Linked DNA regions of Arabidopsis thaliana. The protein of the gene in region 4 interacts with the protein of the main gene of each other region in a pairwise test. Each region holds a gene or a part of one and is shown on either strand. Other genes may lie near its edges. The genes, in order: AT2G16030, AT3G12180, AT1G11940 and AT3G05150.

Region 1 (3,832 bases), on a different chromosome or scaffold from region 4:
CTGAGGGAAATACTGAGGAAGAAAAGTGGTGTCGTCGGCGAGAAGGAAAACATCAATGAAAAAATCAGTGATCGAAGAGGTCGGTGACGGAGATTCAGATATGGCGGAGGAGATATGGAGAATGAGCGAGACCAAATCTGGGAGGGAAGAGGAGCTCAACGACTGAGCATAAGAATCAGCAAAAGTGAAGCAGATCTGAGAATCTGGTGGATCCGGTGGTTCCGGTGGAGTCGGCGGAGATGGAGGCTCTGGTGGTGGTGCACAAGGTGGCCTCAGAAGGAGGAAGGCGACCGAAGACGACGGTAAGCGACGAGAGTGGCTCGCATTCGAGAGAAAAAGGAAAGTCATTTCAAGTGAAAGACTCGCCGGAAAACAATTACGCCACCGGAAAAGTAGATTCATTGGAGAGATCTCACTTTAGTAGTAGCTACAATCAGGAACGCAGGCAGTCAGAGGAGCAACGCCGGTGAAGAGAACTAATCACGAACAAGGCTTGCGGCTACCTTGGTTATCTTGCTTGAGAGAAAATTTTTTTTTTTTTTTTTTTTTTTTTTTAGTAAGAGCCTTTTATTCACCAATAAGAATTTTGTTCTTTCTAAGTATACAAAATGACTAAAGAGTATTTTACTTAACTCACAAATAGTACACAGGAGAGCTCTAACAGATTGAAACGTGAACCTCACCTGGAAAGAAAGTACTTTCTTTCATCACACACTAAAGTCTTCAAAAGCTGTTGAAAGTTCTTTACTTGTTTCAAAAGCGACCAAGGTTCCTAAGAATTGTTTAGCTCAGAGACCAACTTCCAAAAAAAAAGATATTAACCTGTAGAAAGCTTTTGTTCTGGATCTTGAACTCGCAACAAACATCGCAGCTTCCCTCAACAAAACATTGCTTTAGGATCCAGAACAAATATGGTCATGGTCTTTGAACAATGTTACCACATAATCTGTTAAATCTCCTGCTTTTCAAACATGTAAGTGAATTTCAACAGAAACAAATCTAGCTCCACTCTATGAATATTGAAGCAGTTTTCTGAGAATCCGGAAAGGGCCTATAAATCAAAAGAGAAATAAAACACCTCAGGTAGGAGAGTCTTGAACTTTGAATAGTATACTAGTCTTTTTGGATCCTTCTAAGGTTACATTAGCAACATCAACGACCTTGGAGTTATGAAAAAGCCTAGCAATGTCTCTTACATCATCTCCACCACATTCATCAACCGAAACCACACAAAATCCGCCACGTCTCACCGTCCTCTCCATCTCCTCCACAAACTGCCACGGAAACAGAGCTTCAGCTAGATGTGCAGTGAAGGCAAAATCAAAGACACCGTCGAAAAACGGAAGGTTATGAGGATCAGCTCTTTTCACAAGAGGAATCGAATCAACCAATTCAACTGCGGTAACATCAGATAATCCGATCTGAGAAAGAGCCATCAGAGCATGGCCTGCTCCGGCGGAGAGACAGAGAGCTTTGGTGTGATTTTGAATGAATCCGAGATCGCGAAATCGGAGGAAGTAGGTAGAGAAGGAGTATAGACGAGATTTCCAAGCTCCAGAGGACCAGATTCGAGCGTTCTTCTTTGGGAGAGGAAGATGCTGACGAGGCGATGAATCGCATGTAGATCTCGGGAAATGCGTATGAGGTTTCGATGGAGCTTCTGGAGAAATACAAGTTTTTGGTGTCTGGAGAATCATAATTACCATTAATACTGTTCCGATGCTTAAGAACACTATTGATACTCTCTTCAGCATCTTCTCGACGTTTCTCTCCATCGTCGCCGATCAAAACTCCGATCAAAATATCTATGTTTATATAACATCAATAATAAAAACACAATCACCTAACAAACGCCGTTGATTGTTACCAAAACTCTAAATAATCTATTTTTGGAACGAAATTCAAATATTCATATAAGATTAGCGGATCGAATTTCTCTCTATTTCCTCAATTTTCCACAAATCTATGTCGATTTAGTATAATTAATCGAAACATGGTCAACTAACAAACGCTGCGAATTGTTATCAAAACTCGAATCCATCTATTTTTGGAATTAAAATTCAAATATTCCTCAAAAATTAGCAAATCAAATTTCTCTCAGTTCCTCAATTTTTACACAAATCTATGTCTATTTAGCATCAATAATTAAAACACAATCAACTAACAAACACCGCCGATTGTTACCAAAACTCGAATCCATCTATTTTTAAAAACAAAATTCAAATATTCCTCAAAAATTAGCGGATCGAATTTCTCTCTAATTCCTCATTTTGGCACAAATCTATGTATATTTAGCATCAATAATCGAAACACATTCAACTAACAAACGCTGCAGATCTAATCCATCTATTTTTAGAATCGAAATTCAAATCTTCCTCAAAAATTAGCGGATCAAATTTCTCTCTTGTTCCTCAATTTTCGCACAAATCTATGTCTATATAGCATCAATAATCAAAATACAATCAGCTAACAAATGCGCTGCTTTGTCACCAAAACTCGAATTCACTTATTTTTAGAATCAAAATTCAAATATTCCTCAAAAATCAGCGGATCGAATTTCTCTCTAATTATTCGATCAAGAAACAAATCCTACATTGTTAGCAAGTAGTGGGTATAATGACTGGAAAAATGCTGCGCAAAGGCTGAAAAGACATGAAACAACTCATCGTCATATTATTTCCATGACTCATTGGATGGAGCTAGAAGTGAGATTACAAAAGAGTAAAACAATTGATAACCATATGGAATAGGCAATTAAGAAGGAGAAAAAACATTGGAGAGATGTATTGGTGAGAATAATTGCAGTGGTAAAGACTCTAGCTAAACAAAATTTAGCATTTTGTGGAACTAAAGAGAATGTTGATGATCCAAATAGTGGAAATATTTTGGCATTTATTAGAATGATTGGAGGTTTTAATTCGGATATGAAGGAACACATTCGGCGGGCTAATAAAGGTGAAATTCATTGCCATTTTCCCAGTCATAAGAGTCAGAATGAATTGACAGAATTACTTGCTAATGATACCAAGATGATGATCTTAAAGAAGATTAAAGATGCGAAGTATTTTTCAGTCATTCTTGATTCCATTCCGGATGTTAGTCGTAAAGAACAAATGACCTTCTTAATTCGATGTGTGGATGTTTCAACGTGTTCACCTAAGATTGAGGAGTTCTTCTTGACGTTTCTACACATCAAAGATAAGAGGGGTGAGGGGCTTTTTAAGACTCTTCAAGATGCATTGATTGATCTTAAGTTGAATATTGATGATGTAAGATGACAAGCATACGACAACTGACAAAATATGAAGAGAAAACATAAAGGAGTTCAGAAAAGGTTGCTTGATATAAATCCAAGAGCATTTTACACTCCATGTGGATGCCATGGTCTTAACCTTGCACTTTGTGATATGGCTTCATCATCCAAGAAAGCTGTTTCTTTTTTTGGAATTGTTCAGCGAATACATTGTCTGTTTGAAGCTTCAACCAACAATTGGGAAGTGTTTAGAGAAACAGTGAATGGTATTACACTTAAACCGTTGTCTCAAACGCGTTGGGAAAGCCGCATTGATAGTCTTAAACCAATAAGATATTAAGCTTCAAAGATACAGATACAAGATGCACTTTTTTATTTGGCAGAATACACTGATAATCCAGGACACCGGAGTGATGTTGAGTCTCTTACAGAGAGTGAAACACATGGAATTGGAGGGTTTGAATTTTTATTTGGAATGATAATTTGGTACGATTTGCTAGCTGCTGTGAATATAGTAAGCAAATCCTTACAGTTTGAGGATATGGATCTTGAGGTTGCTATTTCTCAGTTAGGAGGGCT
Region 2 (3,826 bases), 2.4 Mb from region 4:
AGTCATAGGATGGATTATGGTTTTGATAAGGTAAGTGAATAAGCGCCTATTTGCTGGATTAAGTGGCATAGTCGTTGGGAGTTAATTAAGGACACCCACGGGCCACGGCCAAGTATGAAAATTGTAGTCTATCTATCTTGAATGATCTTTTCGCTTGGATTGACTAGAGTCTCTCGTGGTCCCAGACTCTTGCCCTAAAAAATCTAAATAAGGAAAGTTCCTTATTTAACCGGTTTAATGCCCGTAGTAAATATTATCGGTTTGTGAGATGGTCTGAGCCGGTCCGGATCGGGTCATAGGGGGTCTGGGACGTAATCAAGCTGGATAACTCTCTTGGGTTGGGCCGTAATCCTTCTTGGGTCGCTATTTGGTCACTATCGCAAAAATTGGCTCATATAAAAAGGTTTGTTGAAACATGCCTTGGTTTTTGTTCTTGCAGAGTTTCTGTTTGGGTCACCTTCTCCTCCTCCTCTTGGATGGACATGGATTTAAGGTCCACAGCGGGTTCAATTGCATCTCCGATAAACTAGATATCGGTGCGTTTTTCCACAGCCAGTCTATGTAATACAATGTAGCTTCATTCTTGATACATGATTTTTATGACTTCAATGATGAGACTGAACATTATATTGCGCAAAACAAAACTGATGAAACCCTCCATGTCAAACGATTTGTGATGAGTTTTCGGTAATCATACGTTATATAAAGCTACATGATGAATCCCTGAATGGCTAATTCTAAGCAGGGACGTAATAAAAACCTGTCACAATTTTCTAAAACACACTCAGAAAATAAAGAGAGAGTGGTTGATAACGCAGAGCGCAAGCGCATAAATCAAAACAAATGAAGTAGATCATCATCTTCCGTGAAGCTATAGACCGCAGAGAGAGTGAGCCTGCAAAAATGTTTTATGGACTCGGTAAGTAACTTCATAGTAGAAGAACCAAAGTAAGTGAAGATGTTAATAGGAAAGCTAAAGCTGTAGTTTTTTTTACCTAAAGACAACCATGATGAAGAGAAAGACGTAGAACCCGAGCTTGGTATACCGGAGCTTCTTTTCAAAGCTGATACCACGGAACACTTCAGTGACATCGATGAGATAACGTCGCTCTTTGTATCTGAAGAACAATGGGAGGCGCGTATTTAGTTTCCACGCATGTCAATCAAGAATCATAAGCAATATGGATGGATATAGATACTTACAACATTGCGTGATAGACTGTTACAGGGACGGCGACCAGAAAGAAGACCCAATGCCATGTGAGGAGGAAGAGAAGGCAGAGTGACCCTTGGAGGATAAACTCAGGTATTACTAATCGGTTGATACGGGTACTTGTTTCAAAAGGGTTCAAGTAATCAGCTTCTAAATCCGTTAAGCAGATAACCTACAAAATCACACACGATATCAATAGACTAAAAAGGAATCTCAATGCTTCAATCATTAGCAGAGGCAGTTAGTATGAGAGTAAACACTATTGGTAGTAGTATCTAACTTCATTCATTCACAGTATATAACTCGCAATTAATCAACTATATGTCTCAATTGACCAAGTATCATATACAAGCCTTGCAGACAATCCAAATCAGAACTAAGAACAACTTTGAGTTAGAAGCATAAGATTAAGGATAAACAATGAAACCTCTCTGGACCCAAAAAATTGTCAATTGTATTTAGTACAAAACCGACGAACACAAAGGAAAATTGTTCCATTCCTAATTTTTTAGCTAATTCGAACAAAAAGCTAAGTTGCTCGGTGTTTTTTCACAAGTACAATTCCGACAATCAGGATTTGAACAGTAAGGACAGATCTCGATTTAAGAATCTTAATGGAAAGTAAAAGGGGACAAACAAAGTAGATAGATTACCTGGTAGAAGACGGAAGCGACGAGAGCCAAGCTAACGAAGAAGGAGACTATCCATAAAAACAAATCCCAAGCCATATTTGCTCTCTTCAACAATTACGATTCGTCTTTTTGCGACTGCGACTCTTCTCCTTAAATACCTTTGAAAAAAAAAGAACTCTTCTTCTCTCAACAATTGGTGTACTTTACTTTGGGGTTCTATTGGACATTAGATTCTTCTTTCCTTTTTATTATTACTTCTCTAGTTTCTTTTTGTGAATATCCTTTTTGTTAAATTCCTTTTTCTTTTTCAACAAAAAAAAAAGATGCTTGGTGTTAATTAATAAAGAACTAACAAAATTTATTAACTGTATGCCATTTAGGCCTATACAAGCCATATAAGTAAATAATTTCATTTTTTTCTTCTCTTTTAGAATAATTATTTGGTTCTTTTAAATAAGTTCACTTGAAATTTGTTAGTTCTTTATTTAGGCCTATACAAGCCAAAGGATCCGTCCACTCTCCTCTTCCCGAGAAACTTGGTTGATACCGTACGTTTATATGTTACATTGTAACAAAGGCTTGTTTAGTTATCAACTGATTATGATGCATTACTCGACCTGATTGTTTTTGCAGGTGGAGAAGTCCTAGGACCCGGTGATAGAATTTCTCTTCTTCTGAAGATCCAGACGACATACACGTGGGACCCTGAGCTTTTGAACTGGTAAACTCACTGCTTTTTTTGTTGTTGGAAAAAAGACAAAAAGTAAAAATACACATTGTTTCCTAGCAAATACACATTAGTCTTCAACTTCTAAGAAGCAACAAATGTGATCTAATTTACGCTAAAAACATTGGTCTCCATTACAAACACGAAACCTAAATTTCACAAACTACTACATAATCTTTATTTTTTTCTAGACTTCTTCGATGATCTCCGGCTTTCAACTTTTCTCTGAGCAGCTTCGAACTCTTCTTCGTTTGGCTCAGAGTCAGCATTGCTACCATACCTAGAGACAAGTGAAGAGAACATTGAATCGAACTTCTCTTTCCTCTCATCTCCCCGCTGGGACATTACAGCGTATAAATCTTTATCTGCAGCCTTTGCTGCTCTGAAAGTATAGAAATTTTGAAACAGGTCACAACAAAGATAACTTCAGAGGGCATTTATTGGGGTGGAAAAGGTAGACAAATAGAAGCTTACTTCCGTCTCATCTTCTGGGGATTCGTGGGAGGTTCCATTTCTGCAATCTCCTTTGCCCATTTCTTGTAAGCTTTTGTTGATTTCACTTCTCCTGCAGATGTTAAACAATGGTATGCACAAACAAATCAGAACCTGGATAGGTTTTATAGACAAAAGAATTATTGCAAGAAAGAGAAGCCTACCCGCTGCAATGGCCTCATCGATAATATCTTTGAAACGGTGCGAATCAAGCTTGGGGTTCGAGCAAAGCATTGAGCAGAAAAGCCTGAAAGAGATATAGTACCAATAATGTTTATACAAACTTCAACTCACAAACTTGACAATAATGAAAACAAGGGGATGATTAATTACCTGCTCATTTTACCCTTAAACTTGTTATATAGCTCAATCAAATCATTCTTCTCGGATTCAGAACCCCTATAGTTGGCCTCAAACTCTTCAATATCTTCCTCGGTGACCTATAGCACAAATGATCAGTATACAGAACGAAACAGTTGTGTTGCAAAGTCCAAAAAGAAATCAATTGTGAATCATGATTCTTACCTTCTTGTACATTGCCTTGAAGAAGTCCCTCAAGTTGTCAACCACATCTCCCGAAAGATCCTAATGAGATAGGGAAATAACCAGTTTGTAAGAAAATCCTCCAGTACCTTTACTTAAGTTGAAAACTTTCTTTCAACTTACAGCATCATCAACTGAGCCAGTTTGATCATAGACTGCTCTTTTCTCTTCATCACCGAGAATCGAAATAACCTTTTGCAACTGCTGAAATTTCTCTTT
Region 3 (4,979 bases), on a different chromosome or scaffold from region 4:
AAGTTTTCCTTTTTTTATGATTGCTAGGCTTAGCTCGAGTCGGTTGGGAATTTTTTTAATGGTTAAGATTTTTGAACTTAAAAGATTCAGAGAGATTTTTATAAAAATGACAATGCCAATACTATGGATTTGGAATAATTGCATTGTTGTAGCCCAATTAAAAAAATGTTTTTTTTAAGCTAATTTTAGTGAACAAATTTTTTCAAAAAATGTGGCCCAATTGAGCTCAACTACCGTCCAACGGCTCGTCGTTTGACTCATTTCTATGGAATCATCAGATTTGCAAAAGAAGCTTAGAATTCCGACGAACTAGGCCCAGTCCGCCCATAAAGCAACCAAAACATGTGCTTTACGCTACCAACTATAAAGAAAAATGTAAGGTCACTTGTTTAAAAAGTTTGTTTTGGTTAAGTGTTTATGTACTTCATTATTGTGTGTTCGAGTCCTTGAAAATTTTAGTTTTTTTTTAACAATTTCCAGGAGAATGAGTAAAAGACATCAATCCAGAGTAGAATTTGCTATTAACATATTCTATTAATCGAAGCCAGTTTCTTCAGACATATACACATAGAAATTTTAACACCCAAACACAAGATTATCCATGAAGAATGATTATTAGTTTTTACTAAGCGTCATATATAATCATAAACCATTAAACCTCATGAGGGATGTTTGTAATGTATCAATGCTATTCCTACTCTATGTATACGCTCTGTTGCTTGACCTACTTGCTTACACTGTTGCAAAGTTATAAGGTTTTGTTTGCTGATGATCCTATTAGTCCTTCACTCACAATGCGCATAGCAGCTTCATTCGTGAACTTCCTTGCAAAGAGAAAGCATGGGACGGGTTTCGAATCCGCCTTACACCATTCCGTTCGAGATTCAGACTCGTAATAGACATGGTCTATTTTCTGTCCCGAGAAAAGCAAAAGAACTAGAGAGATTACTTAGGGATTCATTCGGTTGTGATATTAATCCTCTGAACAAAAAGATTGTACCTTTATTTCTTTTATTTCCTCAGGGCCGGAGTTTTCCAATGTGAAAGTGACGGGATGCCAAGATTTGGCTTCATATTTTGTACCTGAAACGTTCCATACAGTGTATGTCACTGTTCTTCGTTCCATTTCACTCTCTAGTCCTTGCATCTGAAATGGTCAGTTTGTAATACATTAACAATATGGAACTTTTTAGATGGAAACAAAAATGAGAGAGATGTGTATCAGATATGATGGTCACCGTAAGCAATGTTTGCACATAGTGTTCATCGGGGATGCAGTTGCGTCGCTTCTGTTTCTGAGTTCACATCAAACGTAATAAAAGTTTCCCCATTTGTTTAATAAAGAAAGAGGTTAATCAATGGAGAGAAGTATTCATAGACTACAGAAAAGACACTGTTGAGATTGTTTTGAAACCAACACAAAGAATCAACATAAACATTCAGGCTGGTATTAAATGAAAAATACCAACTTTGAAATAGCACTTACAAGAAACAACCATGCCTCATTGGTACCTAAAGGTGGACATCTCTGCAAATCGAAAGAGAAATCAAGAAGTAAGTTATTGTTTCTTCAGCAACAAAGAATCAAGATTGAAATTAAAGTCATGATCATAAAGCTTAATCTTTACCTTGCAGAATTCCTTAAAAACTGGGAATACGATACCATCATTTACAATGACCTCTGCATGACTTCTGATCAAAGCTATCCACTGCAATAGATAAAACTAAGATGAGATTAAAAACTTCATGAACTTTAAAAGGTCCCTATCCTCCTAATGCTTAAATTTTCACAAGAAACTCAGGCTTCAAAAATCTTGGTAGCAATGTTCATTTCCTAAGCAAGAAAATGAAGATACCTGGGATCCTTTTCGCCATTTCTCTTCAGGTATGACAGGAGACATTTTCACACTGTACCGTGTCTCTTTAGTATGAAGAAAACTGCCAATAGAGAGCAACAAACATAGTTATCAACATCTAGACAACTCCTCTTATAATACACCAGTTATCAGGCCATATATATCAAGTATGAAGTACTAAGAAACCTCATAAATTCAGACTTTCAATCTACCTATCCACAAAACTCCTCGGTGAAGAGATAAGATATTTGTATATATAGCCAAAGTCATATAATGGAGCACATCTGCAAAACAGAAAGTAGATGAAAATGAAATAAGTCCGTACAAACCACAAATGTGCTCAAAGTCAGATGCAATAAGTGGTCAGGCATAAGATGATCTGAAAGAGTAATGCTGAAAGAAGCAAACCTGTCAGAGAGAAGAACAAATCTTTGATTGGAGTGATCCTCTAAAGCAGATGCAAGCAACAATCTTTCTGCTTCAATCATGCTTGATTCTCCCCATACTACCTATAACCATAACAACACCACCCTAAGTTTCACTATAAAAAAACATCAAATGGAGAAATTCTCATGAACACTCACCTTAATGCTATTGTTCAATTGGCGATTATAGAAATACTGTGATCGTGTAGTTTCTTCATTGAACACGAAACCAGGTACTGAATGTATATAAATTGAGAAATTCGCATGATCCACTCCCTGCAAAATCACCAGAATCAGCAATTTTTTCGAAATTTAGAATAACGGACAAGTATTAATAGGACTAAGAATCTTTTTTGACCTTGAAGAATCTATCCCACATAAAATCAAGTGGGAGATCACGGCGAGCTAAGAAAAGGAAAGCGAGCTTGGGACGATCACCGGAGTATTTGTGAAGCGGTGTCTGAGATCTCGCGACGGAGAGTGGAAACGACAATGTCGTGAAGGAATTGTACTGTAGTTGGATTCGAAGAAGAGCAAGAAGGCAAAGCGCGACGGAGAAAGCGATTACGAGTTTCCATCCCAGCCACACGACGCCGCCGCGACGGGACAATGGAGGCGGAATCTGCGGCTGTGATTTCTTCGTCATTGTACTACGATCACTCACCGTCGTACGATCAACATTCGAGTTAGAGAAACGAACAATCACAAGTCTTTTTAGGGTTTTTGAAGTCAATAAATTTCTCAGGAGAGAAACGGAAACTGAAGAATTGCAAATTACAACATTTTGGATTTTGAGAGAAAGAGAGAAAGAAAGGTAGAATGATGTTGATAGTTCGACGTATAAACTTGTAAACGACGTCGTAAGCCACGTACACGTTTTAAGTTAGTTGGGACCCACGTTAAATTAGAACATCATTAAATTGTTGTCCGAAATTGAAATTGTCAGAAAATGGTATGAAAATTATACAATTTGACTAGGAATATTAATTATTGTATTTCCTTCTATACAATTAGAAAAAAAAAAAAAATACCTTAAAACAAAACCTTTGGAAATTAATGTATTAAGTCATTTTAAAACCTTTGAAAACAAAACAATCCATATTTACTGCAGTAAAAATTTGCAAGCAACAACTGAACCAATTGTATTTGCTACTATGAATCTATGATGCTCTCATATCATAAACTTTCATTTGCTCTCAAAATGATGTAAAGATACAAAACTATACAAAAGAAGCTTACATCAAATATTCATTCATATGCCAAAACAGACCGGAAAAGGAAAAGTTACATCAAAATCCCATTTGAAAAAAAGGAAATCATTCTTTTCAAGAGACACTTGTCTCTTTTACATACATATATCACAGCAAAAGCCAACTACAATAGCCATGGCTTTAACAATTCTACAAAATCTGCTGTTAATCCTACAACAACAAAGCTATAGAGCTTTTAGCTGCGATCTAGCAATAATGTCTCCACTTCTTTCAGAGCTTGTTCAACTGCATAGATCACCATCTTTTTTATCTGTTCACATGGCAAAGATTAAAACAAGATTCAACTACAAACAAAACTGTATCCATTGACAGAAGTTGCTAATCCAAAATTGAAAATATCAGAAAAAGAATCACCTCAAGTTTGTCTTCTCTGGCTTTATGGTTCTTAGGGAGTTGTCGAAACTCATCAGTCAAACGGAGACACTCATCGATGTTTTCAGGGGAAACAAAATCAACAGCTACCTTTGTGCACGACTGTATCAAAATCCATAATACAAGTTAAAGATAATGAGAAAAAGTTTAGTTAATAGGACAGCTTCCATTCAAATAATAACCTTGAGATTCCGAACTTGATGAGGACAACCTGCTGGAATAAACACTGCTTCTCCTAGCTTTTGCACAAATGTCCATGGCTCAATCCCTTTAGTTCAAACAAACAAACACAAAAACGTAAGAATACAATGTCGGTAAGTGACAGTTACTACAGTTACAAGTAACCATACCAAATTCTGCCTTGAGTTTTCTTTTATGCTCCACGGTTAAGAAATATGACTGATCATGTATTGGATGATACACCTAACATAAAGAATCCTATCAGCACAATAACCTCTAAGACTCGGAACTGAAAACGTTTTGTGGATTATTTCTTACCTTTGTAACACGAGAGCAATAAGTATGTCTGAATTCTATGCAATGCTTCCTTAGATACTCTTCAAGCTTAGGAACATCTTCTCTTTTAAAGATGTCCCAAAGTGCACCACTTGTTTCATCATAAACCACAATCTCATCACTCACAACCTCTTCTTCCTCTAAACCATTTTGCTCCTGAAGCTCTTTCTCATTCTGTTGCTTATGTTTCTGTTTCAAATCTGCAATTGCAGACCTTTGCTCCTCACTTAGTGTTACTTCAGCAGTATGCATCAGAATATTAACCTACAAAAACAAAAAACCGTTATACACCTGAGAAACCGTATTATTATTTAACAGTACTAAGTAACAATTCTGAAACTTACAGCATCTGACATATCACAGTGAAGCTTAGTGACTGAATCTCCTCTACCGAGCTCATCTGAAGTCCCATATGCAACATAAGTTTTTGGACCAAGATCTGGTTTAAGAAGTCCTTCAGGAAGTTTTGTAGCAATGTTGAGAATTCCTGATCTAGGATCGCTGTATTCTTGAAATGGTAATGCGGAAATGAACTCATC
Region 4 (6,034 bases):
AGCACAACACACGGGAGAAGCTTCTTTGCTTTGGTCTACCGCCATGAAAGAGTGTTGGTAGGACACTTTTAAGATTTTCTCAGAAACCTGAAAACCTAAAAATAGAGAAGAGGATCATAGAAAGGAAATAGAAAGAAGTTAACATTTAAACCAAAAATAAATAAAAATAGAAAGAAGTTTTGAAGTTGGTGTTCGTCTCGAGACACCCGAAAGAAAAGGTTTTGTCTGTGTGTTTAAAATTTGATTTACTAATTTAATTGTTTTCCGTTGACCAATGGTATATCTACTAGTAGTTTTTTTGTTAAGCTAATAGTTAGACTCTAAAATGACTAAATCCTATATTTGGCAATATGCTTTTGATTTTCTCTTTTTGGATTGAACTCAGAGGCATTCTCTTAGCTTCATTCATTTATGGCAGAAAGGGTTAAGGGTCCTTAAAAATCGCTTCATCTGTCGGTCTCGTTATCCAAACTCATATTCCTAATTTAGGTCTTTTAAGGTTTTAAAAAACTACTTTCTTTATCTTGTTGATAAGGAATTTATAAAAGATCAAACTTGAGTAATCTAAGTAGTTTTAGTTTTACTAATTTCATTTACTGTTACTAATCAATTGTAGATATTGACATTCTTGTATATATTGCGACCTGATAGTAATTATCTTTAATTTTCTATATGTTTTTATTCAAGTAGTACTCTGTTTTGTATTTTCTTTCTTGTGAATAGAATATTTTCTGTGTGTATATGATGCAGAAAGCCTGCATTAAAACCTGCATTGGCTTTATTGCTTTGCACCGTTTATTTATTTTTATGATTCTTATTTTTGTGATTAACAAATATTATTTCAAGTGACTCTTATATAAGTTTTGGATAGTTAAACCACGGACCACAATCATGTTGGAAGTGATTGTTCAATACTTCATTGTTGTATAAGAGAGGGGACATCGATCATTTATGTAAATCTTGTTAGGTACTGTTCTGTTCTATCAATCTATCAATAGTCCCTACGCTAACTTTCTGTACCCTCGATTAAATAGGTTTTTGCTCAATGACGCTGGGTCCAAATTGTAATGACTCAGTTCAACTTCCGCGACAAAATCATTTTCATAGATTTTGATGATTTCTATAGTGGGCGGTTTTTTCTATACATCTTACATTCGCAAGAATTTGAATGATATTAGCCCATATGACGAGAAGAAGAATAATTCATTACTTATGTGGTTAATGCGGAGTGGAAACGAATATCTCATGGCCAACTACAAATCCAAATACTGTCTTTTGAATCCCTGTAGTTTTATACTATATGATCTAGAGTTTTTTTTGGATTTTGTCTCCCAAATTAGAAATTATTATAGTATCAACTATCCATCACATTTATAGAAAAAAAAAAAAAAAAAAACTATCCATCACAGCTTGGATCTTGCGGTGGGCCAGGAAAAAACACATGAGCATCGGATCTGTGGAAAACAACTGTCTTATCGGGTCAAACCTTTGAGTCAATTACACGTTACTGTGCATGTCATAAACCATCACCAAAAAGGAAAACAAAATAACAAACCATGCATCTTACTTACCCAGTAACACAATGCATCCATAATGTACATAGTATTTGTGAATTTTTTGAGGAAAGTATTAGTGAATATTATTACTATGAAATACCATGTAATTACTTCTGAATTATCTTACTTAAGAAAATTCAAGTTTAGTCAATCAACATTAAAACTATAGAGAACCCCCAACGTGTAATAATGCATTGGGAGTTGGGACTTTCATAAAATCTCGAATAAATTAATTCAAATTGTCTAATTCGTCCAAAATTATCCTGCATGGGTTTTAGCTAAGCCAGCCTAGCTACATGTACTGATTTATACAGAGATAAATATAGACATGATATATATCAATAAATTAGGAACAAATCAGAGTTTTTAGATCTAAAAACACGGTGCCTTCTCATTTCCTCCGGTGAGTTATCCAAATCTTGTGTTTCTTATCATATATCCTATATTTTATCTACATAAAAATTGATAAGTATTCGTTGAATTCAAAGGGCATTTTACGAAGAAAATGGAGACAAGAAAAGACGACATGGAGAAAAGGAACGACAAATCCGAGCCGTTGCTGCTGCCGGAGAATGGATCCGACGTCTCAGAAGAAGCATCATGGATGGTTTATCTAAGCACGATCATTGCCGTTTGCGGTTCCTACGAGTTTGGAACATGCGTAAGATTCTTTTACGACACCTATTACTTTGGAAATAAAAGATGATGAGAACCTAAGAATTTGTGACGATTAATCTTTTTGATACGAGAAAATCTGTGTTTGTTTTTTAATAGGTGGGATACTCCGCTCCAACACAGTTTGGGATTATGGAAGAGCTTAATTTATCATATTCCCAGGTTTATATTAAATTGATTAAGTCTTCTACGTTTATAGATGCATGTTTAACAATATTTTGCTTAATCTTTTTTTTTTTTTTTTCTCTATTGGAATCTAGTTTTCGGTTTTCGGATCGATATTGAATATGGGAGCAGTGCTCGGCGCCATTACATCGGGGAAGATTTCTGATTTCATCGGTCGGAAAGGGGTAAAACCTACCTAAACAAAATTGTTTTTATCTCAATATACACACAATAAATCCTAAGAAAAATATACCATTTTTACGAAATATAAAATTACTTTTTGGCTCACATGGTTTTTGTCTTTGAGACAGGCCATGCGGTTGTCTTCAGTGATCTCTGCCATCGGCTGGCTGATAATTTACTTGGCCAAGGTTATTCTTTTGGCTGAATTTCTTCAATAGCTGTTTTCAAAAAAAGCTTTAAAATAACATGGAAAATCTGCAACTAAATAGTGATGTTTTTTTTTTAATATTAGGGTGACGTACCTTTGGATTTCGGAAGATTTCTAACGGGTTATGGTTGCGGTACCCTTTCCTTTGTGGTACGACATTTTCATAAGCATTTTCCCCTTATGGATAAAAAGCCATGCATAGTGTTATAAATTAATCAATAAATAAAAATTCCTTTTTATATATGAAACTTTTTGGAAATCCACATTTGGCACCGATTTTGTGTAGGTACCGGTCTTCATCGCCGAAATTAGTCCGAGAAAATTGAGAGGAGCCTTAGCGACGCTTAACCAGGTGATGATGATGTCCTTTTATTTACTACTGCATTAGAAAATGTACTGATTACAATAGAATCAGAGCTAGCATATGTGTTGGTGTTTTCGAGATATTTGACATTGTATCACAAATTAGGAGTATTTTGTGGTCAAAAAAACAAAAATCAAAACAGTATTTAGAGTTATTTAAATCTTTTAAAAGACAACAAAAAATTATTGTTTTATTTCTGAAATAAATTGAAATTGTTAATATTGCAGCTCTTTATCGTAATCGGATTAGCTTCTATGTTCCTCATAGGCGCCGTCGTAAATTGGAGAACTCTTGCACTAACCGGTAAACTTGTTTGTGCGGTAGCTGAACCGGAAATATTTGTTGTTGGTTTAGTAATTATACAAAATTAGATGGTATAAAATTTAATTTGGGTATAACAAAACGAGGTTTAATTAACCAATTTCAGGAGTTGCACCGTGCGTGGTTCTATTCTTTGGGACTTGGTTCATCCCTGAATCACCCAGATGGCTGGTAAGATCAACGATCGTAACTCAACATATGGTTGAAATTAACCTCTTAACATTAAAACCAAAAAAAAAACTAACCGACCCAACTCATATGCATTTTGCGTTTCAAGGAAATGGTTGGCCGCCACAGTGATTTTGAAATTGCGTTGCAAAAACTGAGGGGTCCTCAGGCCAATATCACAAGAGAAGCCGGGGAAATTCAGGTACAATCTAAAACCAGAAAATCGGTTTTGTTACGTGACATGACATTTTTCGTGTTTTGAATTCCGGTTTATAGGAGTACTTAGCGAGTCTTGCTCACCTCCCGAAAGCCACATTGATGGACCTTATTGACAAAAAGAATATTCGATTTGTGATAGTAAGAATCTCTAATTCCATTCAACCGATTATAACTATTTCCCGGTTTGATTTGGTTAAATCTTATTTTTCTATCTATTCAGGTTGGAGTTGGTTTGATGTTTTTCCAACAATTCGTTGGAATTAATGGCGTTATCTTCTACGCACAACAAATATTCGTATCAGCAGGTTATAATTCGAAAATGATCTAGCAAATGTTATAATCTAACATACTCCATTTCTAGACCATTCATCGGTTTTTGTTCCATTTTTGGAGTACCAGGAGCATCCCCAACTCTTGGAAGCATTCTATACTCGATCGAACAAGTCGTTCTCACAGCACTAGGCGCAACATTGCTAATTGATCGGCTTGGAAGAAGGCCACTTCTTATGGTATGGTTCTTGTTTCAGTTTCCAATAAATCCTAGAATACCGGTTTAGAGTATTCGGTCTGACCATGCGGTACATTGCAGGCTTCAGCTGTTGGGATGCTGATTGGATGTTTGCTCATCGGAAATTCATTTCTTTTGAAGGTCAATCATATGAAAAATAAAATTAAAAAATTAAAGCGTATAATGTCAGGAAAAATATAGGACGTTTAGGTTAACCGGTTTGATTTTGGTTTTGACAGGCTCATGGTTTAGCACTTGACATCATTCCGGCTCTGGCAGTTAGTGGTGTCTTGGTAAACATCTATAAACCTAATTTTGGTTTCAATATATATGGTTTGGTCTTGGTTTTTTCCTCGGTTGACCCAAAACCCAATTTCCAGGTCTACATCGGTTCGTTCTCTATTGGAATGGGTGCAATCCCATGGGTTATAATGTCTGAGGTAATTTCAAAACAATATATAATGTTCATATTTCATTATTTTTTCTTAATCTTGTCATTACATTAATTTACTCTTTTTTTATACTTCCAGATATTTCCAATAAATTTGAAAGGAACTGCCGGAGGACTTGTCACTGTAGTAAATTGGCTAAGTTCATGGCTTGTCTCATTCACTTTCAACTTTCTCATGATTTGGAGCCCTCATGGTATATTACATTTTTTTTTGTTATTTTATATACATAACTACTAGGTGAACAATCAGTATTGATCGCATTTCTTTGTTTTTAGGTACATTTTATGTGTATGGTGGGGTATGTGTATTGGCTATTATCTTCATAGCAAAACTTGTTCCTGAAACTAAAGGCAGAACCTTGGAAGAGATTCAAGCAATGATGATGTAACTCTGTAAATATATAATACATGTTAATTTTTTATTTTTTTTATTAAGGTATAACTATCTACATGCAAACGCATACCATTATCAATATAACCGAAAGGCTTTATATGTATTTTATGAATTTAATTTTGGATTTTCAGATTTCGTAAATCGAAAGAATTATGGCATGAAAATGTTCTTTAGTCAAGAAGTGGGCATGTTCTCTCGTAAAGAGGCTTTTCTCGAATCAATCAAACACACAGTCATACCCTTCAAATTAGTGAGGAGGATATTGTTCACTACTATCCCGCCATCGATTTTTCTTCTTCTCAATTATATCATACATAATGGGCCTTACTTTTGGGCCTTCAGCTTTCAAGAGAATTTTACTCGGTAAATGAATAAAAGAGTCTTAACTCTTAAGTGCGTTTACGATTTCCGATATTCTTCTAACGTTTAGTTTGATTTGACTTGATACAGTGGAAAAATATGAACGTTGTGAAACGGTAACATTTTCTTACCGTTTGAATCTATAATATTTGATTGGAAAGAAATTTAAATAATGACTCTCTATAAATACTCCTTTCTTGACTCTGAAATCTGAATCCTCTTTACTTGGTTTATTTCTTACAAATGTCGAGTACAATCTTTTTTTAGTTCTGTTTTTCCACTGGAGGAGTTCTCTCACTCAAATTTTATCTACATTGCTCATTAGCCGAGAGAAACAAAACATAAAAAATCCTCTTACAAGGTAAAATACTCTGGTCTTGATTCTTGTATATCGTTTTGCTATTTAAACGGTTCTTGTTAGTTGTTAATAAATATACACGTTCTTCATCTTTTAAGCTGCAT

The links.
Region 1: the proteins of AT3G05150 (region 4) and AT2G16030 interact in a protein complementation assay, tested with the Arabidopsis thaliana proteins (one large-scale study listed by BioGRID).
Region 2: the proteins of AT3G05150 (region 4) and AT3G12180 interact in a protein complementation assay, tested with the Arabidopsis thaliana proteins (one large-scale study listed by BioGRID).
Region 3: the proteins of AT3G05150 (region 4) and AT1G11940 interact in a protein complementation assay, tested with the Arabidopsis thaliana proteins (one large-scale study listed by BioGRID).

Annotation. Positions count from the first base shown.
Region 1 is NC_003071.7:6,973,117-6,976,948, forward strand, and holds AT2G16030 (S-adenosyl-L-methionine-dependent methyltransferases superfamily protein), read right to left. Parts: upstream 1,892-3,832; 5' UTR 1,776-1,891; coding exon 1,080-1,775; 3' UTR 557-1,079; downstream 1-556. Other genes in the region: AT2G16018 (uncharacterized protein), read right to left, coding at 1-402; AT2G16019 (uncharacterized protein), read left to right, coding at 56-166; AT2G16020 (uncharacterized protein), read left to right, coding at 240-470; AT2G16040 (hAT dimerization domain-containing protein / transposase-like protein), read left to right, coding at 2,901-3,207, 3,637-3,832.
Region 2 is NC_003074.8:3,881,579-3,885,404, reverse strand, and holds AT3G12180 (Cornichon family protein), read right to left. Parts: upstream 2,076-3,826; 5' UTR 1,942-2,075; coding exon 1,867-1,941; intron 1,386-1,866; coding exon 1,204-1,385; intron 1,119-1,203; coding exon 996-1,118; intron 896-995; coding exon 835-895; 3' UTR 541-834; downstream 1-540. Other genes in the region: AT3G12170 (Chaperone DnaJ-domain superfamily protein), read right to left, coding at 2,750-2,954, 3,047-3,137, 3,229-3,311, 3,398-3,504, 3,590-3,649, 3,731-3,826.
Region 3 is NC_003070.9:4,031,020-4,035,998, forward strand, and holds AT1G11940 (Core-2/I-branching beta-1,6-N-acetylglucosaminyltransferase family protein), read right to left. Parts: upstream 3,137-4,979; 5' UTR 2,928-3,136; coding exon 2,640-2,927; intron 2,558-2,639; coding exon 2,441-2,557; intron 2,366-2,440; coding exon 2,265-2,365; intron 2,141-2,264; coding exon 2,069-2,140; intron 1,939-2,068; coding exon 1,857-1,938; intron 1,710-1,856; coding exon 1,629-1,709; intron 1,529-1,628; coding exon 1,487-1,528; coding exon of another isoform or gene 1,451-1,486; exon of another isoform or gene 1,296-1,450; coding exon 1,239-1,295; intron 1,148-1,238; coding exon 1,001-1,147; intron 914-1,000; coding exon 749-913; 3' UTR 515-748; downstream 1-514. Other genes in the region: AT1G11950 (Transcription factor jumonji (jmjC) domain-containing protein), read right to left, coding at 3,728-3,802, 3,907-4,026, 4,107-4,192, 4,275-4,347, 4,423-4,704, 4,785-4,979.
Region 4 is NC_003074.8:1,438,155-1,444,188, forward strand, and holds AT3G05150 (Major facilitator superfamily protein), read left to right. Parts: upstream 1-1,918; 5' UTR 1,919-1,959; intron 1,960-1,971; exon of another isoform or gene 1,972-2,044; 5' UTR 2,045-2,061; coding exon 2,062-2,217; intron 2,218-2,330; coding exon 2,331-2,393; intron 2,394-2,491; coding exon 2,492-2,581; intron 2,582-2,707; coding exon 2,708-2,767; intron 2,768-2,871; coding exon 2,872-2,937; intron 2,938-3,073; coding exon 3,074-3,139; intron 3,140-3,378; coding exon 3,379-3,454; intron 3,455-3,578; coding exon 3,579-3,643; intron 3,644-3,749; coding exon 3,750-3,842; intron 3,843-3,916; coding exon 3,917-3,997; intron 3,998-4,079; coding exon 4,080-4,164; intron 4,165-4,258; coding exon 4,259-4,368; intron 4,369-4,448; coding exon 4,449-4,508; intron 4,509-4,606; coding exon 4,607-4,660; intron 4,661-4,747; coding exon 4,748-4,807; intron 4,808-4,897; coding exon 4,898-5,012; intron 5,013-5,094; coding exon 5,095-5,203; coding exon of another isoform or gene 5,204-5,207; exon of another isoform or gene 5,208-5,343; and 3 more. Other genes in the region: RBK2 (ROP binding protein kinases 2), read right to left, coding at 1-45. UniProt on the Arabidopsis thaliana protein: Sugar transporter.